Linked DNA regions of Caenorhabditis elegans. Each later gene encodes a partner of the first gene's protein in a complex. Each region holds a gene or a part of one and is shown on either strand. Other genes may lie near its edges. The genes, in order: unc-83 and unc-84.

What was found.
Region 2: unc-83 (region 1) and unc-84 share a complex: the UniProt entries of both Caenorhabditis elegans proteins name them as parts of the unc-83-unc-84 LINC complex.

Annotation. Positions count from the first base shown.
Region 1 is NC_003283.11:6,461,246-6,471,328, forward strand, and holds the start of unc-83 (Nuclear migration protein unc-83), read left to right. Parts: upstream 1-3,819; 5' UTR 3,820-3,967; coding exon 3,968-4,039; intron 4,040-4,188; exon of another isoform or gene 4,189-4,388; intron 4,389-5,141; exon of another isoform or gene 5,142-5,322; intron 5,323-5,759; coding exon 5,760-5,858; intron 5,859-6,719; exon of another isoform or gene 6,720-6,928; intron 6,929-7,064; exon of another isoform or gene 7,065-7,204; intron 7,205-7,347; exon of another isoform or gene 7,348-7,487; intron 7,488-7,698; exon of another isoform or gene 7,699-7,847; intron 7,848-10,083. UniProt on the Caenorhabditis elegans protein: Cargo-specific adapter that is involved in nuclear migration during development and thereafter.
Region 2 is NC_003284.9:13,579,322-13,591,846, forward strand, and holds unc-84 (Nuclear migration and anchoring protein unc-84), read left to right. Parts: upstream 1-5,453; 5' UTR 5,454-5,458; coding exon 5,459-5,655; intron 5,656-6,149; coding exon 6,150-6,430; intron 6,431-6,482; coding exon 6,483-7,311; intron 7,312-7,370; coding exon 7,371-7,813; intron 7,814-7,871; coding exon 7,872-8,135; intron 8,136-8,615; coding exon 8,616-8,771; intron 8,772-8,822; coding exon 8,823-9,280; coding exon of another isoform or gene 9,281-9,292; exon of another isoform or gene 9,293-9,350; intron 9,351-9,355; coding exon 9,356-9,676; intron 9,677-9,728; coding exon 9,729-10,001; intron 10,002-10,061; coding exon 10,062-10,175; 3' UTR 10,176-10,500; downstream 10,501-12,525. Other genes in the region: F54B11.11 (CUB-like domain-containing protein), read left to right, coding at 1-38, 364-458, 550-787, 835-1,066, 1,297-1,629, 1,679-2,156; srf-5 (WAP domain-containing protein), read left to right, coding at 2,881-2,953, 3,004-3,150, 3,200-3,279; col-9 (Nematode cuticle collagen N-terminal domain-containing protein), read left to right, coding at 10,714-10,881, 11,035-11,886; col-44 (Nematode cuticle collagen N-terminal domain-containing protein), read left to right, coding at 12,177-12,344, 12,394-12,525. UniProt on the Caenorhabditis elegans protein: Involved in nuclear migration and anchoring in hypodermal precursor cells. Most likely recruits anc-1 to the nuclear envelope where anc-1 functions to tether the nucleus to the actin cytoskeleton.

The DNA.
Region 1 (10,083 bases):
TGTGGATGTGCATTAAATTCATCAGTAGTGAAAATTGAAAAATTTCTTCAATGATTCATAACATTTTAACTAGAAAATAAGCATACTCGGATTAGATAACTTTTCGGTTTTTGATGTTTTCCCGTACAAGTCCAGTTAAAAACCAAAAAAGTCACAACTCAGCACATAATAAAAGAAGTCATCGTGACCATAAACGGGTCCATTTTACGATCTCGTCGCTCGTGATTGCAGCAATCATCAAGTCGCAGTTTTTACGTATTTCCGCGACCACCGGTGTACCTGCTTTTATTTTTGACCGAAAAATTGGGACATCACAAGAAAAAGCGTTAAACCAAGCACTATAGTGAGCTATAAATCTACCTGTTGGAATGTCTCTGTTCACCTTTTGAATTGCATTCCACTCCCTGTCCCCGCATGTTGACCACCCATTCAACATTGATTCGATTATTATGATGGTAATTTCGTATCAATGTCGGAAATGTAATCCGAATCCCTTCTGGATGAAATAAAAAAAATAGACGGAATGGAGAAAGTGTGTAGGAAGCATTGGTTTGTTGTCTGAATCATCTGTACTACCGCCATCAGCCTCACCCTTCACAAAGATCATTCCAGCTTCCCATTTTTCTTTTATCCGCTAGAAATGAAGCGTATGGAAGGTGATTTTTGGGGATTATATGTACTGTTGTATTGGACTGTAACAAAGTACGTCTAGATTCTGCTAACCTAGAGGCTCTTGAAGTTATTTTCTCTCAACTCCATTTTTGGTCCGCTTTTTAGAGCTGCAAATATTTCGAGCACTTGTTGACAATAAATAAAGTGGTAGTTTTTTTATAACAGCACAGTTATAATAGGCATTTGGCTCTAGTTTCTTGGCCAAGCTTGGCCCAAAAATATTAGCTTACTATTAGAACAAAATTTGGTAAAACTTGGGGAAGAGTTGGTTTAGGCTATGATGAAGTGTAACCCAACTTTGGCCGAAGTTTTGTCCAAAATTTTTTTGAACTTGGCAAGAGTTTGACAAAAAATGGGTCAAACTTGACCAAATGTTTCCAAAGTCTTCCCAAAACTTGCCCATCGTTTGCCCAACTAGTCCCAACTTTTGACACAATTTAACATTTATTGAGTTCAACTTAGATAATTAGCTAGAGCCAAACTAAACATGTTTTTGACATTTGTGATGCTATCAGAAAATTATTTTTATGCAATTAAAATAAAATAAACACTACTTACTAATTTTCTATAGAACCTCGTGTTCCTTTCAAAATTACAATACGATCCATCTTGTTCCCACAATCACTCTGCTTCTCAATCATCTGTCTATCTATGTCAGTCTCTATAAATATATTCACATGATCAATTTCTCACATTTGAAAAAATTGGCACCCAGCCAGCAATGTTGCACTGTCTTCCTCTCAACCCTTCTACTCCCACACGCTTGCCCTAGACTATCATTCTTCAAAAAGAAAACTAAAAACAGCTCGATAATCGAATGTGTGTCTCCTGATGGTTCCCACGTCGTCAACACAAACTGTTTGACTTTTTCAATCATGTCTTTGACTTCTTCAACTGTCTGCGTTTCTTCCACACATACACAAATTATCATTTCTTTGTCGTTTTTTGTCTTGGTGCTGACCGCCTTTAGTTACAGGCGCCCGTTGTTTTCTTGCATTCCTGCCAATTTTCACAGTAGCAATCGAGATAGTATCAGGTGGTAGTAAATGTTTACGTGTCGACTGAGTTTTTCAACCTTTATGACTCCATTGGCATAGGAGTATCAAGTAAATTATCAATGAACTGATTAGCATCATGTTCATTTTGAAGATGACATTGTTTGAAAGGTTTTCGGAGAAAAGGAAGTATTCTGAAATATTGGAATTTAAATTAATTTCTATTAATGTGCTTACAATTAATATTGAAATTTTAAAGTGTTTTTGGAAATTCTCTGCTGGCATTTGAACACTCAAAATTCTTCAATTAACTGATCAGCTCAGGCATAATTTTCTTTTGAAAACTTTTTAATGGCTTTACGCATTTTGAGAAGGAGCTGAAGTTTTCTAACTGTTTTTGAAAGTGTTACCCCTCTATGAGTCACTGGGGGCAAACGAGAAGCGCAGTTTGGGCGACATTTTGTTGCATTATCAAATAAAAACGGTTGTCTCTTCTTTTTTATTATCAACCAATGCAGAGCCAACATTCTACCAAATTGATAGTAATGCAAGTACTTGCCGTAGATTCCCTCAAACATTTGAGACAAAGGGCCTAAATAGTTTTAATTGTGAAACAAATTAGACACGACGTTCGAAGTTTATTCTGCAGTTTTGGTAATGCGTTGTAATTTTGATGTTAGTCTAGAAACAAATGTTTTCTTTTTGAAATTTTGCAATGTTCTTCAGAATATTTCAAGTATGAAATTTCTAAATTGTACTTCAAATCATTTCTAAAACTCGTAAAACATTCGGGCACTACAAAGTGTTCCTTTTCTACTTTAGTATCACAATGTTTCGCACATTGGTGATAAATGAGCCGGGGCTGTCTGCCGTTTCCGACTCCATTAACTTGGGTCCATTATCCCATCGTTTCACTGTGTTTCTATCACATTTATTGGGGGAACTTCCTGTTGCAACAAAACCAATAAATTCGAAAAGTGTCAGGGCCATGTGCTGTTGGACATCTATTCGTGAACATTTTCAAAATTTCGATTTGTTCCTTTCCAGTTTTCCATAGATTCAATTTTAATTGAAAAATGAATGGGTGGAAACTTGAATTTAAAAAAAAGGAATTTAATTCAATTTTCAACAAGTTCAAAAATATTTTTTCCAACGTTTTGTTAATTGATATTTTCCAGAACTTTCTAAATCAAGTTACATTTTTTTTGAAAGCTACAACCTATTTTGTAGTAATTTGGAAATTTCTTGGACCTCGTTGTGATAATTTCCATAAATTTTGCTTAATATTTTTTATTGGAAATCACGAGACTTTTTCACACAAAATAAAATCTTCCAGCTGATTTCCCTGGTCCAATCTCTTTTTTATCACTTTCACACCTATCTCTTCATATTTTCATATCTTCATAAATCTTCATAAAAATTCATAAAACAATATCTCCATCATAATTATCATCTTTTATTATTTTATCAGGTGTCGAAAAGAAACGAAAACTGTGTGAATGACATGATAATCCATCATCATCACAAGCTTCTCTTCCCAACTCTCTAGATTCTCCTCTCTCATCAGTATTATTGTTTATTAAGGCGGAGACTTCGGATTGGGGGGCAGATTTCGAGCATCTCACACTTTTCTATGTTTATCTTTTAATTTGCGAACATTTTTGCGGGCGATGGCTTGTTGTCCAGGGCATGAAATCCATGGATTTTTATTTGGATTTTCAAAAACTGGCCTAACAAATTTTATGGAAACCGTACTATACATAAGTAAAACATTTATGAAGTTTTTCGTGTGTTTCTACATTTTTATTAAAAACATTTTTTATTATCTTTAAAAGGATGTTTTACTGCTCGACACAATTTTCATAGATTTTTGGTAAACTAGGCTAGTTTTGAATTGAGTATATATTTTGCAAATTTTCTATCCTCAATATGACTTGAATTTCCGTTTCTTGACTTTGATCTCAACAGAAATCTCTTCTTGAAATTTATTTTCAGCTCCAATGAAACAACTAATCTCTTTTTCTTTGTTTTTCACGAAATTTTTCCTATTTTGTTCTACACACAAAAAATTGTATATACTTTTTCTATTTTTAAATTTTCACCTCATTTCGTTTTGATTAAGTATTTTTCCGTCTAAACTAAATTTTTCCAGATCCGTTTCTCATCCGTGATCATATTGCGCAGATGCGTAATTGATCGTCCACCCCTACCAGTACAGTATCCCACGTCTGGATACAAACTTCTCTGATTTTTTTATTTTTATTCCTGGACACCGAAAGTAACCCGAAAACAGGTTACGAATGGACGTAATGGACTCATTCTCGGAGGTCGAGATGCCCAATGATATATCATCGGAGGACCATCTTTTGAAGGTGAGGCAGAGCTTTAAATTTTACGAAAAAAAAATACTTTAAAATTTTCAACGCATTTTCTTGCATATTGAATTCATTTGAAAAGTAAAATTTCGTTAAAAGTAGGAGAAAAAAAATTAAAAGTTCGATTTCTTTATTCAAACCAAAGTAGAATGTAGTTTTTTTCTAAACCAAAACGAGCGAAAATAATTTTATTTTTCAAATCTATTTGATTATTGAAAGTGCCTTTTTGAAAAATGCTTGAGCATTTACCCTTGCGCCATCAATTGTTTGCAAAAAGCTGTCAAAAAGCCCGAGAGGCCGAGTTTTCAATTTTGGCGCAAAAAATCCCGAATTCCACGCTATCTTTTTTTTTCTTTCGATTGACTAAAGACGAACGGCTGAAGTTTTTTTTCGCTGTGCTTCAAAGATTTATAACTGGAGGTGGAAAGAGTTAGTGTCGCACATTCAAATTCCGCATCGTTTAGTTTTTCTTATCGAATGTTTTGATCTGGTGGGGGACGACGAAGTAAATTGAATTGAAAACTGTGGTTATCTTGAAAAGAAGTTTGAAGGAGAAAGTGTAAAACTATTGATGACGGGAGTTTAAATTTCAAGAGATTTTAAGACATTCCCATATTTCAGTGTGCGAAAATTTATCATTAAAAAATATTAATTATTTCTATGTGCTAAGTACATTTATTAGCAAAAAAGCGCAGAATCAAGTTCAGACAACATAATTATATTGATCTTCAGAGATTTTGCACATAATTTTGAGAGCCATTTTTCAGGAAAAACATAAAAGTTATCAAAATTGGTCCGCTAAATGATGTGTAAAACCTTTAAAATGCGATACTTTTTAATATTTAAAAGATTCGCATGAGAAATAATTGACTGACACCTTAGGTTCCTTGTAAAATATTTCATTGTATTATTAGTAAGTATAGGTATTTCCCAGATTTCCTTGTTAAGGTACCGCAAAGTCAACACATTCATGGACACCTTTTTTTGTTGACTTACCCCATATTTCTCTTTTTGTTTCCAAAAACAATATGCGGACCATTGAATCCTCACGCCATTCACACACATTCCCAGAGCGCGACTACTAGTAACTTTGTTTGGCAAAAGCTGTTAGTAAGAAGAGAATGATTCCGAGTGCCCAATACCATAAGTGTTTCTCGAGGTGCGCATCTCGGCAGTGAAGAGCAACTTGCAAGTTCGAGTGCATTTCTCCAAACTTGGTTGTTCCTACACAACGATTCCTGTGCCATGTTCCTTGATCCTCTCAATTTTGGCAATTGAATCGATTAACGTCAGGTTTACTCTTCGTTTTATTGCAAAGTGGGCCGCCCGGAAGGTCGAGAAATCGTAAATTGACTCGGAATTACCAATTTTACAGTCACACTGAAAGCAAAGCACTTCTTTTTGGTAGAGCGGGTGGCCATTGATTGTCGTTAAATCGTTTGTGAGGGTCATTTAGAAAAATGGGCGCATATTTTAATTTTTCAGAATAATTTTGACAATTTTAAATAATGAAAATAACAAATTACATTTTTTTGAAAATCTTGTTTCACCTTTTTTGGTTTTTTATTTGTATCAAATTATAAACTGTTTTATTAAATTGCACTACGCAGCTGTACAAGATCGAATTGCGCGTGTACAACCATCGTTAAAAATATCTCCTAGATATCTTTCCAGCTGTTACTTTGCCCATTTTAATGATCAATAATTTAATTTCCAGGTCATCGAATCGTCGGCTGAGGAAGTGGATATCTTTTTGGAGAACTGCTCCTCGCTCTACAATTTAATCCTCGACTCGTTGCACAACCTCACCTCAAAAGTAAGTCTTATTTGTTTTATTGCTTGTGTCGTTTGGTTGCCATGGATCAAGTGAAACTGGGAGAGTAATTAGGTGTAGCTGGCCTCAAAAGAACCTCCTGTTTTTCTCGATTTTCTTCTAGTTTTTCTTTGAACAAAGTTTTTTGCTTAGCCCTCTGATATCAAGATCAAGTTTTGCAAACTTGAGGCAGTTGTCCATTTGATTGAGCAAGAGATAGCAATAGTTTAAGGGGTCATCAATTATCAAAAAGAGAAACGTTACGAGCCTGTCAATTGAACACAAGCCTGGTACGAAAATATTACGGCAGATGTGGTGATGGATAACTGAAAACATTCACTTGACAAGCCTTTTGCCTGTGCTTTAGGGAATTTTTGAATCTTCCAAATACAGTTTTTACATAAAGTTTACCAGAATTAATTTCTGGTTGAAGTTTCAAGACTTGTTGATCTAGGAATGATAAATTAAAATAAACCCTTCCCATTCACAAAAACATAGCTAACTTATTCTTGCTCTAACTAGTAAGTTTTGTTCACTCCATGAACTACATCTAAATTTAAGCGGTTAATCATAGAGTAAACAACAAAAAAAAACCAATTTTTGAAGGTATAAAGTTGTACTTCTCAATATCCGATGATTAAAATTTTTAAAAAGAAAGTATCCTCAAATCGTTTGCTCTTTTTCAATGAGATAACAAATGACCACTGCAACTCATCTCTCTGTGCTTCTTATCCTCCCACACTCATTCAATATACTCACCCAATTTTTGTGGCAATTGCCGTTTGTTTGGAAGGTCACCCATTAATCAAATGTAGTTGGTTGATTGTGCAACCTCTACTACTAAACATTTTGATGAAGATCCTTCATTTTATCTGCCACTGACTCCTGAGAAAATGCCACACATTTCGATTCAATTAGCTTTCCTAAATTATTATACCAAATAGTATCGAATAACATCTCGCCCCCCGAACCACAGAAAAGTGGCCCCCAATAGTGTGCGCAGTTTTGCCGTTCCGAATGAAATTGGAGATTGTTGAGAACCAAGAGATAGATGGGAATTGAGTTGAAGTTATTGTTAGAAATTTTAAACTTTTCAATGATAAATTTTGACACAATAGGGGATCAGGTTGTAATTAGAAGATTACCAATTACTTTTTATTTTCATCACTCCAAAAAAGTACAACTGAATTTTTCAAATATCTAGTGGTAACCCGAAAAACTCATGTCAACTTTCTGAATCCAAAAATGCTGCAAATTTCTTGTCAAAAATGCTGTCCACAGCAAATCCCCAATGGACGTGTTCCGATTGAGGCAGTGTTTGCTTACTTGGGATGTGTTACTCTCGTTTTCTTATTCGAACGTCCTCCTTTTCTTTTGGGGAGTAACATAATCCCGTTCAGACAGACACAGATTGAGCAGATCATTTGTTTCCTTTTAAGTGGGTTGGCACATTTTGCTCTTTATTTTTCGCTTTTAGATAACTGAGATGCTAATTTTTTTCAGATCACTTAACTTCTTTAGTGAACTTATAATGTTGTTTTTGAAAAATTGTTTCCAAATTCTCAGAAAAAGATATCAGAATCTGGATATTTTCAAATTTTAGAACGAGGCGCACTTTTATGTTTTTTTCAAAACTTTTTCAATGTTTTTTTAACTGATTTTGTAAAATTCATTTGCCTTAAATATCAAATTTTTTGAAGCAAAACATAATGAAATTCTTCTCAAACTTAAAGCCTTCCATCTTTAGTTCCAAAATTCGTTCCGCATTGAACAATAACAAGATATAGGGGCGCGAACATGCGTGAAGAATACGAGAACAGTAACGGAAGAAGAATAAGGAGAAAAGACACGGAGTCATCTCATGTTTGCGGATTGTTAGTTATACCACCATCGGGCACCCGAGTTGTCGTTGAGCATGCTTAGCGACAGGAGCACCAGCGGTACACTTCACGCACCCGATACTCGTCTTATTCGTCCACTCGAAGGGGGGCTTAGACTCACTGTACTCTTCGTTCTAGGTTAGAGCATTAGGGCAAAAACTATTTCATGAAAAATTAGAAAATTTTCGAGGAAACCTCTAGTTTCCATTGCTGGGTTTCTGTCTTTGTCTCTGGTTCTCAGCCATCCTTCTGTTACTTCTTATTTTTATGGCATTATGTTTTCGCGTTTTGGCAAAAGTCTTCCTCGATTTTACAACCGCCACATGTTTTGATATTGTTGCACATTTACTCTGATTACATTCCGATCTTACTCAAAAGCTTTCACATTGCCTGTCATCACAAAGTGCCTTCTTCTTCTCCTCCTTCCTCATCTCCTAATCTAAATTAATGAGTTTTGATCGGACGTTTCCATGGGGGTGTGTAATAAAAATAATGAGCTGGTGTGCTCTTTATCAACAGGGCCGATCGAACCACTTACCGCCATCCATCTTCTGATCCGACTTCCACCACCACCACCATCACCTTTCTTCAATTCCGTTGCTTTTCGTTTGGAAGTGTATTTTGGAAATATGTCACATTATGTATTCATTAGCAAAACGACGCAGTCCGTTGGTCTGTTTGACAGAGAGCTGACAATATGCATCATATCCATTGAAACTGAACCCAGTGGAGAAAAGAAGCATTGTTTCACTGAAATGACTCATTCTCCAGGTTGTTTCTTCTGTTCGCAGCGTCGTTGGTGAAAGTTTTTGTTTTAGCAATTTTCCAATTTCGGCATTTTTCTACCAGACCCTACAGTTACCTACCTACTTGCACAACTCAGTTCCAATGGAAACATTATTATAATTGTCTTATAACCTTATCAGTTTATGCAAATAGTGTTCCCTTTCCTTGGTATGTTCATAACTAATGTTCCAGGCAGAATTTGTATTCTCGACATCACGTTTTGAAGAATTTTCTACAATTTTTAAATAGTAACCACATAGTAACCACTAAATAATAAACACATATTTGTTACTACCACATTTCCAATATTGAGCCGGAAAGCTGACCACTTCTTTTTATTTTCCGCTTGCTTGAACAACCACCACCTCCTTCATTAATTTTGGGTCACCACTACTAGTTTGCCCGTCATCGTAGTGGGAGAATGAATGAGTTTTTATCGTGGTATGATGAGATTCTGCACATCTGGAGCCCCCCGCACACACACACATACCACCCGGTGCGCGGGACATTGCACCGGTCCAAGGGTTAATAGCTCCGTCTCTGACAACACATGTGCACTTTTGTAGCAGGAGGGCACACATACACTGTTTCTTTCATTGTATCGGTTTTTTGACAATGAGAATAATAGAGCTTTGATTTAGTTTTTAGGTTTTCATCGTTCAAATTCTGAATCTAGCTCTCCAACTCAAAACCTGAACAAGTTTGTATATGTATACGTTATACCCATAAATAAACATAACTTTCAAATCCGACAGCCCTCCCCTTATCCCGTCGCTTTTCTCGATTTGTATGCCAATCGGCACATATAGGTATAATGTGATTAGAAATCACACCCGTCAAACAAAACCTGGGAAATGCTTGTATCATTCGAGAGATCCGGCTGACCTTATTTTTTGGGCCCACTCGTATTATATATTCGGGTGTCTCTAGTGGTGCAATTCCTATACTAACAGACCTTATCGCCGTGTTGCATAATATTAGCTACCATTTCTTTAGAGAGGGTGTGCCAAGAGACACTAGATAATATCTTTTTGGAGTTACTTCCCAAATGACCGTAGCTCTTCTTGTAAACTATTCGAATGCTATTAGCTTTTTGTACATTTTTGAAGCCAAAACGTTAAACTTTGAGATTGGAAATGTATCTCAAAAGCTCGCCAAATATGAAGTCTCAAATAAAGATAAGGTCGAGTCTTGCATTTCCAAACTTAAAAAAATCTTCCCTATCCAAAAATTACCTCTTTTTGCTTAAAAAATCGTTATATTCATCAAAGCTCAACAAAAACTATTTAAGGTGACTTTAGTGACAGAACCCAGAAAAAGCAATCATAGCTCGCGATTTCTAAAAACTCATAAAACAACCGCTACCAATCAAGAAATGTTATTTTGTATCGTTCAGCTAATTTTCTATGTTTCAACTTAACCTAACGTTTTTCCCAAATCCACTCTTCTCTTGTCAATCAAATAAAAATTCTCACAGTTTTTTGCACTAATCGAATTAGCAAATTTGGGTTGCATGTCACATATATTCCTATTCTCTTCCCCATTAAAACAGAAACATCGAG
Region 2 (12,525 bases), on another chromosome or scaffold:
AAATCTTGCATTTCTGATTTCATACCAGTTTTACTCATGTGAGTCGGGCTATGAGAAAGATGGTTTCAAAATGTTTACCATGCCAAAAGTACTTAAGAAATTAAAAAAAAACAATTGCGATCAGTTTGATATTAATCGAAATATATAAGGAGATTACCGGTACAAAAATGTTTGTTCTCTTAATGTCAATGAGGGATAACATTTTTGGAAGAGATAGGAAACTATCTTGCGGTTAAAAATTCAAATGTATATTTTATTTTTGTTTGAAAACCCAAAAAGTAACTGTACAACTCTGCGATCAAATATCTTTACCTTGCTATTATCTAATATGAATTGACAAATGAAAATTGGATTTATTTTCAGTGAAGTCATATTTCCCTCTCATGAGGTACAGTGGAGACTACTTCCAGGTTTCTCAAATTCCTCCGGCTCAATACTTGATCTTTTATGGATCCAAGGTATGTGTTCATATGTTGAGAAAGGTTTTGAATAGCTTTGTATTCTTTTTTTTCATGGTAATGAATAATAAATAAAATGCTCACAATTCAGCTTGCCTTGACTCTGGCTGCTAACACTGCTGCGGAATCACTCAAAAATCTCGATCGGTATATGCTTTATATTGGAACTGATGTGATGCAGTATCCAGCAAGTGGAACTCTTGCAGATTTGATAAATGGGACACAGTTTTACGATAATGGAAGGATGTATTATGCAAATTGGATAACAATTGTGAATTTTTATGATGACTTTAAATCTGATGCCTATATCATTGCAAACGATGGGCCTGGTAAATTTCTATTTGTTTGTAATATCCTAGAACCGTTTTCTTTTTAGAAATTACAAGCAGTTATCAATTTTTCATAACTCCACCAAACAATTTTACATCTAAAGTTTTGTTTGATGTAACCGATGGTGGAGGAGCAGTGACATTTGCGTGTCCAGATTGTACCAATTTTTATATTAATCAGCTAGTTTTTGACACAATGCTAACATCACCGAATGGATATATTGCTTTTCAAGGGAATACTCCTTCTCAGATTTATATGGCAAAGGTCATCAATTATAAGTGAGAGTTTTTTTTGGTTTTTTTTTTGAAAACCTAATTTTCATCATTGTCTTTGATAGAAATTATGGCATTTTCAACGTTTGCAACTTACTGTAATTAATATTTAGAATCATTTTTTGAATAATCAATAATTATAAATTTAATTATATGCTACCAATTCATTTTGAGAAAATGTGTGAATTGTGTATAAAAATATAACACTACTAGATTAGCATTACCTATATTTTCAGCGCAACTTCTTTCAATCCAAATCAGCTACCTCAAATTATACCAACTAACAAATTCACTTTGCTGATGTATAAATCTTTATTCACTATTGAGCTATACAGTGGTGATGAATATTCTGCATGGAAACAACCAAGAGTAGGACGTACTGGACTAATTTCGTCGGTGTCATTATGGGAGACTGTATGGGATTCGGCGACTTTCCAATATGAAATTCGAGACGATAGTCAATTGTACAATTTCAATGTGAATATAGATAATATGAATTTCACTGGAGTTAACTTCCTTAATTTGTGCATTGGTTCGGGACCAGGGTACAATAATCAAGTGAATTTGACGTGAGTACCATCAAGATTGCAGTTATCTACAATATTATGGTATTTACAGATACCCACCAGCATTGAACAGTAGTGTGACATCGATTGGAAACTATTTGACAACTTCTGCAAATTTTACAATGAGGGGTTACATCACACTTTACTATGAAATTACTGCGGCATCTGGAACAACTACGCAACCTATTTTGAGCACCATGACTAGCTCTACAACAAAAACTTTAACAAGCACTACAACCATCACTACAACAAAAGCTAATATCTTGACCACGACAGCTACAACTACGACACCGCCCGTAACTTCTGCTCCAGCCACAACCTTTATTACGCCTGTACCATTCACACCACCAGTCACGAACTCTACAACAATTTATTCCTCTAACACTGGATCAACGTTGTCCACTACTATAGGCCTACCCATCACTCAAGTATCCGTTCAGACAACAACTCAGACTGCCCCCTTGAAAGTAGTTTTATTGAATGTATTGTCATTTGTCCTGATAGCTGAGCTGTTTAAGAATTTGTTGTAGTGAAGAAGATTTACTAAGTTTTTAAATTGATCAGATTAATATGTCGAACAAATGCTTTTCAATAAATCACATTAAACCAATCAGCGACAACTTTGTTGTGTACAAAAAATTCAAGCGTTCTTTAAACTTTTTTGATAATCAAAAGAAATCATTTAAAGGATTATAAAGGATTAAAGGACGATCCGTTCTTCAAGTGCTGTGCACGGAGTCAGGTACACTGCCTGGCGGTGCTCCCACTGTGCTATGGTTAAAGCCATGTCCTAGCCGGGGAATGTAGCCGATAATCCAGTCGTGGATTGCTTCACTTCCCACTAGAGGCTGGTGAACATTGGGGGTAAGGCTGGACTTGAACTCGTGACCTCCAGATTGCTAGCGGCCACCACTACCGACTGTGCTATCCTGACCCCCATATTTTGTAATTTTATCTTCCTTCTTTACTGTGTTTGCTCATAACGTCGTGAACTTAACATTGCAAAAAATTGAACGCTTGCAACGTTTCTGAACGGAAATTTTGCATGTGATCAGGAAGTGTTACAATATCTTCAAATTTTGGAATCTTGCCCCCTAATATTTTCAATTCATATTCTCCCAGCTAGATCTTAACTGGAACTTTAAAATCTAGAGCGACCTCATTTTTGCGTGCCAGATAGCAATCTCGACTGTTCCTCTTCTTCCTTCACAGTTTTCCTTATTCATCCCATTCACCGGGTCACTTCACTTCAATATGAGAATCATCATCATCTGTCTCATTTTTCTGGCATTCTTGGTTAATCTAGTGGATAGTGTATGTAAAGCAGGTTAGTTGCCATTTGTATTCTAATCCATCAAACAAATTCGATGTTTGTAGAGGATTACTGTCCCGGAGGTTGGAATGTGATGAGAAAGGCAGATGATACCCCACAGACTTGTGACGCAATGGGCGGAGTCAAATGTCAAAAACCGTATTCGTGTGTGCATTCTAGATGTGGAATGGATTTCTGTTGTGCTCACACTTGTAAGTGCAAATATGAATGTTGAAAGTAAATCAAATTGTGCTTTTCCAGATAAAATTGACCAATGGAAGCGACAACAAGAAATTGAAGCCGACATTAAAGAAGCAGAAATGGAAGATGCTGAGCTCTGAAAATTGTTCTTTATTTCGTTTTTTCCTCACGTTTGAACGTCAATGTTTGCTCATTGCTCTCTTGGATTAGCTTTATTTGCAGAAACGTTTTTCACTTTTCCTATTCGCTCAATTTCTTTTTTTTTTCAAACTTTCTCCATAAAAAATATTGTGTTTTATTTTTGAAAACGAAGCAAGTCAAAAGGACGTTATTGAGAAAAAGAGTGAGAAAAGTTCACACCGATAATTTTTTACTCTAAAGCGACAAACATAGTTGAAGTGGATGAAATTTGAATTTCGCGCGCACTGACTGTTATATAAACTTGTTTTTTTTTAACAAACAGAAAGTTTTGTATTAAAAAAATCAATCTAGAAAATGAAAAACTTGAGCGTCTACTTAAAATTATAATAAATTTTCAAGCATATTCTCTCATTTTTCAAAAAAATGTTCAGTTTCTCTTTTAATTCCTCAGTATGCACTGCATTATAAGCTTTGATGTTTTCCCCATTTAAACTACTCCCTCTTTAAAACATATTTAACACTTGATTACCCATCAAAATCCCGATTAATTCGATCAAGATGTTTGGAAATTTGAGAATGGGAAATCTGATTAGTTCTTGATAAATTTGGTTTTTATATATTTTTTTAATATTTTTCACTCTGTGAATAGACATGAAAATACAACAAAAAAATTTAAAAATTGAAAATCTTCTGGAAAACTTTTGAATTAGTTTTTCAAAAAGTTGGCAGTAGGCTTCAAAAACTCAAAAAATTGATTTCAAAAACTCAAAAAATTGATTTCAGTTTGAAAAGCGGCATTTTCAATATTCTAGAAGAACCTGATTTCAATTTTTAAAAGTTAAAATTAGAAAAAAGTTTTGCTATAGTAAATAAACACCGTAGTTTTTGTTAGTTTCATAACCATGTGAATCCAATAGATCACTGTTCAAAAATTGTAGAAAAAGTCAACAAAAACAACACCAGAGATCAGAGCCATGCGATTGATTTGAGAATTTAAAATCATTCAAACCTTCCACGCAGGCCGAAGTAACTGATCTGGAAGTTGTGCTTTATAAAAAAAACAGACATAGTTCAGTACTTAAAGCGGAAAACATTGTGGACACGCAGATTGTGCTTGTGTTTTTGGTTGAGGGTTTATTTTACTGATAGCCTATATCTGACGTACTGATATGTATTTCATGTTCTTCTACAAACGTTTATTGAAAACTAGTAACTTCTCCGTATCTGCTCTTGACTGTGTCTAATCGTTACAACACTTTTCAATTGGGCTTGTAAATTAGCCTCAAGGTTACGTGGTAAGGCGAGACACACTTCCGATTCTTTCACAGTACTTCTCACCGATTTGTTGCCCATTGCAATGATGCCTAATTCCTTCGGCCTGTTTACGTGTTTAGAGGGCAACACGTAGATGCATGTTCTTCTCTGGTGTTCTCTCTTCCCATCTCACACTCCCTCACTCGGTTCCATCGCTTGTCACCGTACGCCAGACAACTACTCTCTACAAAAAACACACTGCCTCACCCCCTCTCCCCCTATCTGCTGTCCACCACCTGCACCATTCGGCGGGGGTGATGGCGATTGGAGACTGGGGTGACCGACCGAAACCATTAAATCGACGCTCACTGTTGCGTGTATGTGTGTGCCCTCCCTTTCTCCTCCTTTCGCCCAGAAAAACACTCACACAAACAATATCGATTCGAGTATAGTGTGCAAGGTGAAGAGACGGAGGGCCCGACGGGGTGAGCACACAAACAACATTGGTTTGAATTTTTTCTGCCTTGCGATGTTTCGAAAAGTTGCGTATTTAATTTGTTGTGATGTGATATGTTTTGTTTTTTTTGCCAGTTTTTTTCTCTTAAATTTCATAATAAAATCAGGCAGTATTATATATTCTTTTCTCAGCCCATCAAAACCAACAGGTGATTATAATCGTGAGAAACACGAACGTCTCCCAGTCTTCTTCCTTCTCAAGCCCTTTTGTCTTCATAAAAGTGTTTGCTCGTTCTGTAAAGCGCACAGATTTTGGTGCGATGAATCATGCGTAGTTCAAAATCAAACAAAGACAGAGACTCGATGCTTGCAAGTTTTGTTACTTTTTTATTCTCACTTCAATACTTCTTTTTTCACCGCTCTTTAATATCTTTAATATCTTCCTTAAAATTGTGTTTTGCAGGTACTATGGCTCCCGCAACGGAAGCCGACAACAACTTCGACACCCATGAATGGAAATCGGAATTCGCATCCACACGCTCTGGACGCAATTCTCCAAACATTTTTGCAAAAGTTCGCCGGAAGCTTCTCCTGACTCCACCAGTTCGAAACGCCAGATCGCCACGTCTTACCGAAGAAGAGCTGGATGCTTTGACAGGCGACTTGTATGTTACCCCCCTCCCCCTTTTTCTCATTCAAATTTCGCGCCACATACGGCCGAGGTTTCACGCGCACCTGCTAGGCCACGTTTTGTTTGTGTATTTTGGAACTCAGTTTGCTTGTACTTGACGCCCTAGAAGCCTTTGACAAATATGTAAAAGCTGTGTTGTTCTGAGCAGTGAGGTGGAAAAGAGGAAAAGTAGAACACCAGAAAGTATCGGGTTACAAGGGTGGGTTAAGGCGAAGGAATCTGAGCGGGAAGAAGAAGAATAAAGGTCACTTACCAGTGAGCTCTTGGTGGTTCCGTTTCTTTTTGAGTTTTAAGTCTGTGTGAATGTTGGTTGTTTAATTTTAAATATGTAGTGTTTACAAGTCTTGTATAAAAATTAGAAAACCAAGGCGAAACGAAACCTATAATAGAAGATTAACTTTTCCTGGCATTTTCAAATGTTGAACTTATATTCCTAATGTAATAAAATTTTCATAATTTCTTTTTCAGACCATACGCAACCAACTACACATACGCATACAGCAAAATCTACGATCCATCCTTGCCGGACCACTGGGAAGTGCCAAACCTTGGTGGTACTACTTCAGGATCACTCTCTGAGCAGGAGCACTGGTCAGCGGCCAGTCTCAGCAGACAGCTTCTCTATATCCTCCGTTTCCCCGTCTACCTTGTTCTTCACGTCATCACCTACATTTTGGAAGCTTTCTACCACGTCATCAAGATCACTAGCTTCACCATCTGGGACTACCTGTTGTATTTGGTGAAACTCGGTAAGTTGTTTTTCTGCAAAATGTTAGAATTAAAAAAAAAATTTTTTTTCAGCGAAAACTCGTTACTACGCCTACCAAGATCATCGTCGCCGTACAGCTCTCATTCGCAACCGGCAAGAGCCATTCTCCACTAAGGCTGCTCGTTCTATTCGTCGATTCTTTGAGATCCTTGTCTACGTCGTGCTTACTCCTTACAGAATGCTCACAAGAAGTAACAATGGCGTGGAACAGTACCAGTACCGTTCGATCAAGGATCAATTGGAAAATGAGAGAGCTAGCAGAATGACGACAAGATCTCAAACATTGGAAAGAAGCCGCAAGTTTGATGGATTATCGAAATCACCAGCACGCCGAGCAGCTCCAGCCTTTGTGAAGACTAGTACAATTACCAGAATCACTGCCAAGGTGTTCTCGAGCTCTCCATTCGGAGAAGGAACGTCCGAAAATATAACCCCGACTGTTGTGACTACTAGAACAGTGAAGCAACGCTCAGTTACCCCAAGATTCCGCCAAACCCGTGCCACTCGTGAAGCTATAACTCGAGCACTCGATACTCCGGAACTCGAAATCGACACACCACTCTCCACATATGGACTTCGAAGCCGAGGACTGAGTCATCTGAATACTCCTGAACCAACTTTTGACATTGGTCATGCTGCTGCAACTTCCACGCCTTTGTTCCCACAAGAAACTTACAATTATCAATACGAAGAAGCGACAGGAAATAAGATTAAAACTGCATTCACTTGGCTAGGTTACTTGATATTGTTCCCGTTCTTTGCGGCACGACATGTATGGTATACGTTCTACGATTATGGAAAGAGTGCCTACATGAAGCTGACCAATTATCAGCAAGCGCCAATGGAGACTATTCATGTCAGGTATGAACATTTTAAATTTATGATGACCGAGTTCAATTTTTTTCATGTTATTTATACAGAGATATCAACGAACCGGCACCAAGTTCATCAGATGTTCATGATGCTGTTGGTGTTTCTTGGAGAATTCGAATTGCCGATTTCTTGAGCTCATTCGTAGCAACAATCGTTGAAGCGCATCAAGTGGTATTTGCAATGTTCAAAGGAGGAATTGTTGAGACAGTTTCCTATTTTGGAGGACTATTTGCTGGTCTTACCGATAAGAAATCATCAAAGTTCTCGTGGTGTCAAATTCTCGGTCTACTTCTGGCTCTTCTCTTCGCCATCTTTCTCCTTGGATTCCTGACATCTGACAACACAGCAATAAGAGTTAAAGAAATTACCAAAGATAAGAATGCATCTAAGAAGTCGGAAGGATCCCTCCCAGCTGTGCCAATCTGGATTTCAGCTGCAAATCACGTTAAACATTACACATGGATGGTGAAGGAATTTGTTGTAGATATTGGTATGTTATAAATCTCATTTTTCTGTTCAGTGTAGAAAACAACATCTTTAAATTCCAGCATTTGACACGTACAACTATGGAAAGTCGACGATTGGTAGACTTGGCACTACTCCACGTTATGCTTGGGACCTGATTGCAAGCGGATGTGGCGCTGTTGGAAATGGCTTAAAATCTGTGCTCTCATCGAGTTTTCGATTCATCGATTTTTGTGCTGGAAAGCTATTTTACTATGGCTCAGATGGGTTCTTGTCAGCAAACAAGTCTATCGGAACCTTTTTCAACGGTTGCTACGAGACCTTGTACAACGGATGCACAGCAATTGGTAAGGAAAATACAAATTGTATGCAGTCAAAATGTGGTAAAACTTTAAAAAATTAAAATTCGATCAATCCATTATGCTGGAAATCTTTAGTAATTTTCAACATCTTATCAATGGGACATGAGTATTAGCTTTTATTTTTCAGAACAGTAATTTACTTGGTATTTGTGAAATAGAAAACTGAATTCCAAAATGTTTGTAACGAATGAAATAAAATGGAAATAAAAGTGTTGAGCAACATGCTAGTATTATTTTATTTTTCAGGCTTAGAACTTATTAACTTTTTGAGTTATTAATTGAGTAGAATCCTAAGCCTAAAATACCATTCACGTTTTATTTAATTTTTTTTGAAACATCAAAAAACTTTTGTAGTACCAGCAAGTACCATTTACACGTAAAAAAATGATATTATCTGTTTTCACTATTTGTATTTACAACAAGAAAGACACTACAAAAAACCAAAGAAAATCGCTTTTTTTACAGTTGGCCATACAAAGAGCTTCATCTACAATGCTTCAAATGCTGTTTACAACTTTTTCTCAACTATCTTTGCCGGTCTCTTAAACTTTTCTACTTCTTCCCAAAACTCCATTCTTTCTCTTCTCAAGTCATTTGGCACCGGAATCACTAACATTTTTTGTAAGTGCTACAATTTTCAAACTATAAACTTAAATGGTGTTTTTTCTTCAGATAACTTCATTTATGCACCAATCGCTGGAGTGTTCAACTTTGCTGGTGATAACTACATGTATTTCTTCAATGAGGTAGCGGCAGTCTTTGGAAAAGTGTACAACTCCGTGGTTTCCGTGCTCAAAACTGTAATTAACTGGATTCTCTTCCTCATTGCCTACCCATTCAGTTTGTGCACTCGTGCTTGGATTCGCATCAGCCAATATGCTCCAGAAGATGTTGTTCAAGTGATTCCAATTCCACAAGCTATTACCCCAACTCCGGATGTGGAGCGTATTGTTGAAGAGCCACTGAGAAAAGTCACCGATGTGGAGGACGAAGAACTAGTGATAATTCCCGCCCCCGCACCTAAACCTATCCCAGTCCCAGCGCCAACTCCGGCCCCAGTAATTATCCATCAGACTAACGTTGTTGAGACTGTTGACAAAGATGCTATCATTAAGGAGGTAACGGAGAAGGTAACTAACTAATCAATTATTGAATGATTGATGTTTTGTACATATGTACATAATAAAGATTTTTGTTATTTTTAGCTTCGCGCCGAGTTGTCCGCCCAATTCCAGCAAGAGCTTAGCGCAAAGTTTGAGCAAAACTACAACACAATTATTGAGCAACTGAAAATGGAAAACACCAACATTCAATATGATAAGAATCATTTGGAAGCTATCATCCGTCAAATGATCTACGAGTATGACACGGATAAAACTGGGAAAGTTGACTATGCCCTGGAGAGCTCAGGTGGAGCTGTTGTGTCAACAAGATGCTCGGAGACGTACAAAAGCTACACAAGGCTGGAAAAGTTTTGGGATATCCCAATCTACTATTTCCATTACTCTCCAAGAGTTGTCATTCAGGTGAGCGCTTTAGGATCCTCTGACTCCAAGCCTATTATCTTTTCATTTTCAGAGAAATTCCAAATCCCTGTTTCCTGGGGAATGCTGGTGCTTCAAAGAATCCCGTGGCTACATTGCTGTCGAGCTGTCTCATTTCATTGATGTTTCTAGCATCAGCTATGAGCACATTGGATCAGAAGTTGCTCCAGAAGGGAACCGGTCGAGTGCTCCAAAGGGAGTCCTCGTTTGGGCTTACAAGCAGATTGACGACCTGAACTCGAGAGTTTTGATTGGCGACTACACTTATGATCTTGATGGCCCGCCACTTCAATTCTTCCTTGCCAAGGTAAGTCCGAATGATTAATTCTTGACAAGTGTGTGGCTATTATCGAATTAACATTTTCAGCACAAACCCGATTTTCCTGTCAAGTTTGTGGAGCTCGAGGTGACAAGCAATTACGGAGCTCCGTTCACATGTCTCTACCGCCTTCGTGTTCATGGAAAAGTTGTTCAAGTTTAATTTATTTTGTTAATCTTGTTTTTATGGTCAAATTTTCAATTTCCATTGATCTGATTCCGAAATGTTTCAATTTCACCCCTCTCCTGCCAATTTTTCAAATCACAATTCATTTTCCCAAATTTTTCCAGTTCCCTTGTTATATTTTTAGCGCGTGTCCATTTTTTTTCAAAGTATAGAATATCATTACATTTTCATGCAGTTTACCGGTCTCCTGAATACTTGGCCTGAATATATTTGAATGCAAAACCAATCACTCTCTATTTCTCTGCAGCCTTTACCCCCTGATCTCAAAATACTTTATCGATTTTCATAAATTATTTCAATATCTTTTGTTCTTGTAAAACTGAACTAAAACCCATTATGTGGAAGAGTGAATAAGTGTTAGATTGGCATAACAAACCGTAACCGATGGATTCGCAGCAAACGACATTAATTGAGTATACCGCCTAACACATTCATTGATCATTTCTTTTGTATTCCTCGGGCTATATATACTAAACCATGCGAGAGCGTTAACATTGTATTTTCTTCAATTTTCATGGAGTCCTGTGTAGATTTAAAATTACGAATTTTCAAATTTGTGGCGTACTCTGTCGTTGGAAGCTCAGTAATAGCTACAGCGTTTCTTTGTGTAACACTACCGTTGATTTACGAGCATGCACAAAATGGAATGATGACTATTAGCAGAGAAGGAGCATATTGCAAGGTGAGTGATAAACTAAGCATTAGTAATGTTTTGTGCTGAAATAGTTTTTAGTAGTGTATACCTGAACATTTTAGTAATTGAAGTTCTTCCTAGCAAAACATAATTGTCATTTTACATAGAAGTTTGCGGCAATTAAGAGTATAATATTTTCAGAAGTCTATAAACGAAATCTGGTTTGATATGACCGAAGATGTCGACATCGTCCACAATCGAACAATTCGCGAAGCTTACACTGTTACTAGAGGTGAAGGTAACACTGGTTACGCTGTTGGAAGAGGAAGCAATATTAAACCCCGCGGCTATAATACTGGGTATAGATCCCAGAAAAAGAAGAATAATGGTTGGAGAAGCCCACCACGCAGCGGAATTGTTGTTGCGTCAGAAGGAGGAACCTGCATGGGATGCTGCAATCCAGGTCCTCCCGGTCCATCTGGCCACCCAGGAAAACCAGGTCGACCAGGAAGACCAGGTGGTCACGGGATGCCAGGAATGCCCGGACTAGGCGCATCGCCTTGCCAACCTAGAACTCAATCACAGTGTCAACAATGTCCACAGGGACCCCCAGGCCCTCCAGGTCTGAACGGACAGCCCGGCCTGCCCGGTGGAATGGGGCCACCAGGTCAGTCAATGTCAAACGTACTACCAGGACCTCTAGGACCACCAGGACCGCCCGGGCAGCCTGGTAACCACGGTTTGGCAGGGCAACCAGGAAGTCCTGGACAATCGGTGCTGGGCGGAATCGTCGGGTTTGCTGCACCAGGCCCAATGGGTCCTCCTGGACTAATGGGGCCACCAGGCTTGGATGCACAAAATGGAGCAAATGGCTTTGGCCCGCCAGGACTGCCAGGACCACCAGGACCACCAGGAAGACCAGGAAGCGACGGTAATCCTGGAGTTCCAGGGCAAAGTGGTGGATCAAGAAGACATGGAGAAAAGGGTGTTTGTCCAAAGTATTGTGCCATGGATGGAGGAGTATTTTTCGAAGATGGCACTGTTCAGCGCTAGAAATGTGTTTTCTCATATTTATAAAAAATGTCGTCCGTTTGAAATTTTAAGAATAAATTCATAAAGTATAATACTGATTCACAATCTATTGGCATTATTTATTCAATCTGATTCATAAGGTGTAACTATTCTCTAAATAAACCGAATCTATTCAAACCATCTATTTATCTTGATCGAACTACCAGTTTGCTAGCATTCAATTAAGAAATTCATAAGACAGTGAATAGTATAAAAGCCTTGCGAATTAATAATAAATCATTCAATTGGGGTGCTGTGGCTCTAAAAATATAATGGAGTGTCCAACTGATCTTCGTCTAAAAGCTTATCGTCTTATTGCGTACTCAGCTGTCGGATTTTCAATCACCGCTGCTGTTTCACTATGCTTGGTTCTTCCGCTCATATTCTCTTATGTGCAAAACACGAAGACTCAACTTAAAAAAGATTCTTTGTACTGCAAGGTGAATCGACGGTCTCTTTAACTAAACATTTTATATTAAACCTTTTCAGACTTCTGTGCAAGATATGTGGGCCGAAATCAACAATGAGGTTCACGAAATCACAGTGAACAGAACTGCAAGACAGGCTGGATACACTTCGGGAGGAGGAGCCGACGCTGGTGCTGGTGCTTCAAGCGGCGGT